Oryctolagus cuniculus: one gene and its partner. The protein of the gene in region 1 binds, or shares a complex with, the protein of each later gene. Links are inferred from orthologs where the notes say so. Each region holds a gene or a part of one and is shown on either strand. Other genes may lie near its edges.

Evidence for each region. The genes of interacting proteins can lie anywhere in the genome.
Region 2: SF3B2 (region 1) and PPIL2 share a complex: the UniProt entries of both Homo sapiens proteins name them as parts of the minor spliceosome. The link is inferred for Oryctolagus cuniculus from reciprocal best matches to the Homo sapiens genes SF3B2 and PPIL2.

What each region holds. Positions count from the first base shown.
Region 1 is NC_091432.1:5,756,087-5,759,731, forward strand, and holds part of SF3B2 (splicing factor 3B subunit 2), read right to left. Parts: intron 3,560-3,645; coding exon 3,452-3,559; intron 2,743-3,451; coding exon 2,635-2,742; intron 2,395-2,634; coding exon 2,252-2,394; intron 2,148-2,251; coding exon 2,046-2,147; intron 1-2,045. UniProt on the Homo sapiens protein: Component of the 17S U2 SnRNP complex of the spliceosome, a large ribonucleoprotein complex that removes introns from transcribed pre-mRNAs.
Region 2 is NC_091452.1:29,123,083-29,126,727, forward strand, and holds part of PPIL2 (RING-type E3 ubiquitin-protein ligase PPIL2), read right to left. Parts: intron 2,847-3,645; coding exon 2,801-2,846; intron 479-2,800; coding exon 416-478; intron 1-415. UniProt on the Homo sapiens protein: Has a ubiquitin-protein ligase activity acting as an E3 ubiquitin protein ligase or as an ubiquitin-ubiquitin ligase promoting elongation of ubiquitin chains on substrates.

The sequences.
Region 1 (3,645 bases):
CAGTGTGTGATACAGCAGGTTAAGCCACTGCCTGTGACACCTGCAATCCCATTTGGGCACTAGTTCATATCCCAGCTGCTCCACTTCCGACCTAGCTCCCCCTGCTAATGCACCTGGGAAGGCAGAAGATGCCCCAAGTCCGTGGGTCCCTGTCTCCCATGTGGGAGACCTGGATAGAGTTTAGGCTCCTGGCTTCAGCCTAATCTAGCCCTGGCCACTGCGGCCATTTGGAGAGTGAACAGCAGACAGAAGAACTCTGTCTTTCCCTCTCTTCTGTAACTCTGCCTTTCAAATGAATAAATAGATCTTATTTTTAAAAAAATTTCTTTCAGCTGAATGAAATTGTGACCAGCAGACCCACAACAAGAAATGTTATAGGAAAACCCTTCAACTAAAAGGAAAATGAAAAAAAAAAAAGAAAGAAAGAAAAGAAAAGAAAAAGAAAATGATACCAGAGAGAAACCCAGATACACACAAAGAAATGGAAGAACATTGAAAATGTTATCAACAATTATGGTTGCTATGGTTGTTATTTAAATCTCACTAAAAGATAACTGACCACGGGCCAGTGCTGTGGCACAGTAGGTTAAAGCCCTGACCTGCAGCGCCAGCATCCCTTATGGGCAACAGTTCCAGTCCCAGCTGCTCCACTTCCCATCCAGCTCCCTGTAAAGGCCTGGGAAAGCAGCAGAGGATGACCCAAGTGCTTGGGCCCCTGCACCCAGAAGTTGTTCCCGGCTTCAGCCTGGCTCAGCCCCAGCCCCAGTCACGGCAGCAATTTGGGGAGTGAACCAGCGAACAGAAGATCTGTCTCTCTTTCTCTCTCTCTGTGTCTACCTCTCTAATTCTACTTTTCAAATAAATAAATATCTAAAAAAAGAAAAAGAAAGTATAAAATTGGACCGGTGCTGTGGCATATCGGGTAAAGCCACCATCTGCAGTGCTGGCATCCTAAATGGGTGCTGGTTCGAGACCCGGCTGCTCCACTTCCGATCCAGCTCTCTGCTGTGGCCTGGGAGGGCAGTGGACGATGGCCCAAAGCCCCAGGGCTCCTGCACCCAGAAGAAACTCCTGGCTCCTGGATTCAGATCGGCCCAGCTCCGGCTGTTGCAACCATTTGGGGAGTGAACCAGCCGACAGAAGATCTCACACTCTCTCTCTGCCTCTGCCTCTCTATAACTCCAAGTTTCAAATAAATAAATAAATCCTTTAAAAAGGCAATATTTAAAAAATGTAACTGAGCATATAAACAGAAATAACAGCCATGTGCTAGTACAGGATTTATAGCACACGTAACGTAAAACATACGACAGCAGCGTAAAAGGCCAGGAGAGAAGCCAGCCCTGCTGTGCGGAGCCTCTGGCAGATGACGACGCGGGTGGGAACGATGAGCAACCACGGAAACTCACAACAGAGGTCAGCTCATCAGCCAGCAAAGGTGACACAGAGCCAAGCGGAGTAAACTGTTCAGTAGCCCGAAAGGCAGACAAACAGGACAAAGGGAGCTGCGCAGAGGTCCGAGAGGTCGCTTCTCGGTAAAGGGGCCAAATGGGGAAGACTTCGGACTCCGTCTCCACAGCTCAGAGCTTCGAGACCCCGGCCTGTGCACAGCTGTGCTTCTGGGGCCTCAGCACACACCTCCGGCCCCAGGCCATCTGCAGCCGTCTCAGCTCCCACACCCCCTTCTCAATGAGGTCTTCCCAAAGTCCACCTCCCACCACACCCCTCCACAGCCACTACCTCCCACCACACCCCTCCACAGCCACTACCTCCCACCACACCCCTCCACAGCCACTACCGGGCTCCTCGGCCCCAGCACCCTCATCTACATCTGAAACGACCTTCGACGGCCGGCTCCCTCGACGGCCTCCCTCACGCTGCCTCCCCGCTGCCCACAGACAGCCTGGCCCAGAGCTGGTGTTCGACGACGCTGACAGAAGGGGCGGGGGGGGGCGGGGGGGGGCGGGGGCGGCGGAGGCAGCCCGCTGGCCCAGAGCTGAAGGAAGAGAAACCTCCCCCCGCCCCAGCCTGCCCGCTCCACTCACCCGTCCATCGCCTCCTCGATCTTCTTCTTCCTCAGCTCGATGAGCTCGGGGGTCTCCATTCCAGCGGGCACCGACGAGAACCCTCCTGGGGTGATGAGGCCACTGAGGAGAGAGGAGTCAGCGCAGGGCCAAGAGGGAGCCCGCGGGGAGGGAGCCCGCGGGGAGGGAGCCCGCGGGGACGCACCCCGCAGGGCCGCTGCGCCCACCTGTCTGCCGGCGTGATGAAGCCCGTCTCATCTGGCTTGTCTTCGTCGCTCTCCTCCTCTTCCTCTTCCTCCGAGGACTCCTCGTCTGAGGGCTCCAGTTCCCCCCACGGGGTCCGATCAATCTCTTCTTCCTCAGTCTTGGTCTAGGAGAGATCACTCAGTCATTCGACAAAGGTTCACTAAGTGCTACCGCGTGCCACGCTGTCGTGAGTGGGAGGGGCACAAGTAGCCAGCCCCTGACCCGAGCTGGGCACAGCGCACTCTCACTGCAGCACAGAACACGCGCCCCCTCTTCACTCTGAGGAACACCCAGCACCAGGGTACTGAGCTATAGCGGCTGCCTCCAGCCAGCACCCTCAGGCCTGCGGGGACCCGGCCCGTACCTGAAATTCAGCAGCGTTGGTTCCAAACACGTCCCCGTAGAGCGGCTTCCCGGTCTCGTCTACTGGGGGCTTGCCCCAGCCGCCGGCATGGTACCCGAAGGAACAGCTCTGCAAGACGCGGGGCACAGTCAGCTCCACCGCTGAGCTCGAGACCGCCGCAGCCCTAGAGCAGTCACTCTTCCAAGGACTGAACGTGCGCTCAGGAGTCCGGAAACAGTGTGGAGAACCGAATCCGCGGCCCCACGGCGGCACAGGGCGGTCAGAGAGACAGCACAGGCCGGACACTCCCCTGCACGGCGAGGCGAGGGCGGCCTCCGGCACTGGTACCTCCAATTTCATCTGAAGCTTAGCAACGCCACTTTTTTACTTCAATGGCCTCACTTTTTTTTTTAATTTACTGCCGTTTTGAAATGTCATGCTGTTGCTGAGATGAAATCGGAGCTGCCTGCCTACGACGCACGTGCGAGGCACAGGGAACGCGCCGCCTCGGTCAGTCGGTGTGGCTGTTTCTGCGCTCGCCGCAGCAGCAGACGGGGGAGCCCGGCGCGCGCCCGCACAAGCACGGCCGTGAGTTCACCACGTGTCCTACAAGCCCTGGGCGCGTCTGGTGACGAGCCTGCCGCTCGGCTCACCTCTGGGCTGCTAATGCTGAGGGAACACTTTATCGTGAGCGTGTCGCTTTTTTAAACCAGTAGAATCTGTTACTTCCTTTCTGTTTTATAACCAGAGTGGAGACGAGGAGAAGGACACAGAAACCCCCTCCGTGAGACAAGCAGACAAGCAGAGGCAGCCAAGACCGAGAAGGGACGACACTCACCTCGGGGATGGGCGAGTTCAGCCCGGGGATTTTCAGGTTGGGGTACGATGGGGGTGGTCCGTACCGCTGCATGGCGATCAGCCACGGGGGCGGGACCTTGTGGGCGTTCTGCAGCATGAGAGAACAGGGGAGCGTCTGCCTACCCTGCGCTGCTCTGCCGCCCCCGCCCCGCCCCGCCCCCCAGCCGACCGACA
Region 2 (3,645 bases), on another chromosome or scaffold:
GGTGGGGGCAGTGCCAAGCCAAGGGCAGATCCCACACTCCGCTCATAAGCGTGTCTCAGCCATGGTGCTTACCTCACGGACAAAAGGGACCATGGCAGTTTCCCATTTGCTTCCTATTCCCCAAGACGAAGTTAAAATGACAGAGGCCGGGTTGCATTAGGACATGGAAGTGGGCACACAGCGCTGGGACCCCCCCCCCCCAACAAGTGGTGGATGGGGCGGGGGGTGGCCGGTCTAATTCCAGGCAGCCACAGGGGCACTGCTGCCATGGCCCCAGGTGCCTGCGTCTCCCCAGGCTGCCGGGACCAGGGGTCTGGCGGCCTTGGTGCTGCCTGGAGCCACAAACCGCGACATCGGCCCAACGTCCTCAACAATCTCACCACACGTGTTAGATCAGAATTCAAGAACAACTCACAGTAAGTCAAAGACGACGCCTTCCGGGGTGCAGACTGGGTAGACGAAGGGCTGTAGAGAGAGACTGAGAGAACAGAGTCACTCTTGGGTCAGCCCTCAGGCAGGCACCGCGGCAAGGCCTCCCTCGGGCCTCCCTCCGACAACTCTGGGGCCGCGCTGCACGGCCCATACAAACTGGTGAGGACAAGGCAAGGGTCCTGGCTGCCCTCACTCCCCTCTGCGTGGCCTTGGGGAGGCCAGACCAGAACTGCCTCTCTCTGTTCACAGAGCAGGTGGTCCGGCGGGGCTGGCATGATCTCAGAGGCCCTGCCTACCCCCGGCCATCTTAAGAATCCCCTAGGTTGCCTGGGGGTGGGCACACAACCCGGCAAGACCTGAGTCCCTCTGACACAGGGGTGGGGGCCAGGGGGCACAGGAGCCCCCCGAGGCCTGGCTACAGTCATCCCCACAGGCATGGAGAGTGCTCCTGGGGAATCACGTCGTGCCAGTGGCCCTGGCCTTGCATGCGGTTCCTATCAGAGGCACCCAGAGGGGCCCGTGCGGTAGCTTAGTGGGTTAAGCTGCTGCCTGTGACACTCGCAATCCCATATGGGCGCCGGTTCAAGCCCTGGCTGCTCCACTTCCTATCCAGCTCCCTGCTAATGCACCTGGGAAAGCAGCAGAGGATGGCCCAAAGACTTGGGCCCCTGCACACACACAGGAGACCTGGAAGTTCTTTCTCTCTTCACCTCTCTCTCTTTCTTTCTCTGTAATTCTGCCTTCTCAAATAAACAAATAAATCTTAATAACCATAACAATAAGTCATCCAGAGCCTTGGCTCACCTGGCTTCTGCTCTGTCACCTAGGAGTTGAATCAGCAGAGGTCGGTCCCCCACGCTCTGAACAGCCTGGCTACCCGACCTCCAGGATGCTGCCTCCTTTGGACCACCAGGCCATTTCCTGCCTTTTTTTTTTTTTTTTAAGTTTATTTTATTTATTTGAAAGGCAGAGTTACAGAGCAAAAGGGAGAGATGGAGACAGTGACAGACGAGAGAAAGAGAGAGAGAAAAAGAGAGAGAGAGAAAAAGGGAGAGGGGAGAGGGGAGAGGGAGAGGAGAGAGAGGTCTTCCAAATGGCCACGGCAGCCAGGGCTGGGCCAGGCCCAAGTCAGGAGCCAGGAACTCCACTCAGGTCTCCCACGCGGGTGCAGGGGCCCTCACACTCTAACTGCGGCAGCGATGAGCGAGCAGTGCGGGACTCGACACCACAGCCTGCGCCAGGCAGTGTGTGGCGAGCAGGCACCTGCTCCCAAGCGTGACCCACAGGTGCATTTTCACCCACAACCCACAGGGGTCATCAAGACACAGACAAGACACCTCGTGGGCGAGCCAGGCGCCAAGGCCAGAAGCTCTGTCTTCCCATCAGTGCAGAGGAGACCACGGTACCAGGAGGCGGCACCAGCCTGGCAGGGGTGGAGAGACTTCGGCCAGCGATACCTGGGCCCTGGTTGGTCACCCTCCCTCCCCAGCCAGGTGCCGGCAAGCAGGGGCAAAGGTCTTCCCCAACCAGTGACTGAGCGGGAGCCTCCTGGGGACCCGTGGACAGGTGCAGGGAGGCCCAGCTGGCCAGCTTAAGTGGCTGCACCCCCTGGGGCAGAGCCCTTGGCCCTTTCCTACCACATGTCCAGCTGACCCACCTTGACGGGGGTGTCAGGATCACTCACTCGCTGTACGTCTCCCTCACTCTCTCCCTCTGGGTTGCTCTGCTTTTCAACTATTTACTTACACACACACACACACACACACACACACACACAGGGCGAGGGGACCTGGTGCTGTGGCGCAGTGGGTTAAGCTGCTGCCTGCAACACCACCATCCCATACGGGCACAGGTTCGAGTCCTGGCTGCTCCGCTTCCAATCCAATTCCCTGCCAATGCGCCTGGGAAGGCAGTGCAAGATGGCCCAAGTGCCTGGGCCTCTGCACCTGCGTGGGAGACCTGGATGGAGTTCCTGGCACCTGACTTTGGCCTGGCCCAGCCCTGGCTGCTGTGGCCATTTGGAAGACCTCTCTCTCTCTCTCTCCTCTCTCTCTCTCTCTCTCTCCTCTCTCTTTCGTCTATCACTGTCACTGTCTCCATCTCTCCCTTTTGCTCTGTAACTCTGCCTTTCAAATAAATAAAATAAACCTTAAAAAAAAAAAAAAACAGAATGAGGCTAAAAGGCAGAGCACAGCAAATACACACAGTAAGCAAACACCGCCCATAGGCTGTCAGTACCATGGGTCCCCCCTCCTCATGCAGGGAAGGTGGGGGTGTGCGGGGGGCCCAGAGAGAACCCCCAAGGCCAGACTCACCTCTGCTGTCAGAGTGCACCCGCAAGGGAAAGGCAAACCTTCAAAACCCTTACCTGCAGTGGTCGAAGGGTAAACGGCGGAAATTTGACTGGGGGAGATCTGTTTTGTGGGGAACAAAAGGGGAACACCGGCTGTGTCAAATAGCTCCACTCCGTGTACCTGCCCACAAGCACCGCTGTCTTATGGGAAAAGGAGTGCTCAAGTACTTAGCACCGCCACTGCCGTGGGCACCAAACACAGGGAGGGCGTGGACAGAGGAGGAGCTGGAGAGAGCGTGAAAATTACAACAGGGGCCGGAGCTATGGCGTGGTAGGTTAAGCCGCTGCCTACAGTGCCAGCATCCCATGTGGGCGCCAGTTCAAGTCCTGGCTGCTCCATTTTTTTTTTTTTTTAAAGATTTATTTATTTATTTGAAAGTCAGAATTACACAGGGAGAGGAGAGGCAGAGAGAGAGGTCTTCTGTGCCAATCCAAAGCCAGGAGCCAGGAGCGTCTTCTGGGTCTCCCATGTGGGTGCAGGGGCCCAAGGATCTGGGCCATCTTCTACTGTTTTCCCAGGCCATGGCAGAGAGCTGGACTGGAAGAGGAGCAGCCAGGTCTTGAACCGGCGCCTGTATGGGATGCCAGCACTTCAGGCCAGGGTGTTAACCCATTGCGCCACAGCACCGGTCCTGGCTGCTCTACTTCTGATCCAGCTCTCTGCTGTGGCCTGCGAAAGCACCAGAAGATGACCCAAGTGCATGGGCCCCTGCACCAGTGTCAGAGACCCAGATGAAGCTCCTGGCTTCGGATCAGCCATTGTGGCCATTTGGGGAGTGGGTCAGTGGATGGAAGATCTGTCTGTCTCTCCCTCTGTCTGTAACTCTGACTCTCAAATAAATAATTAAATCTTTTTTTTT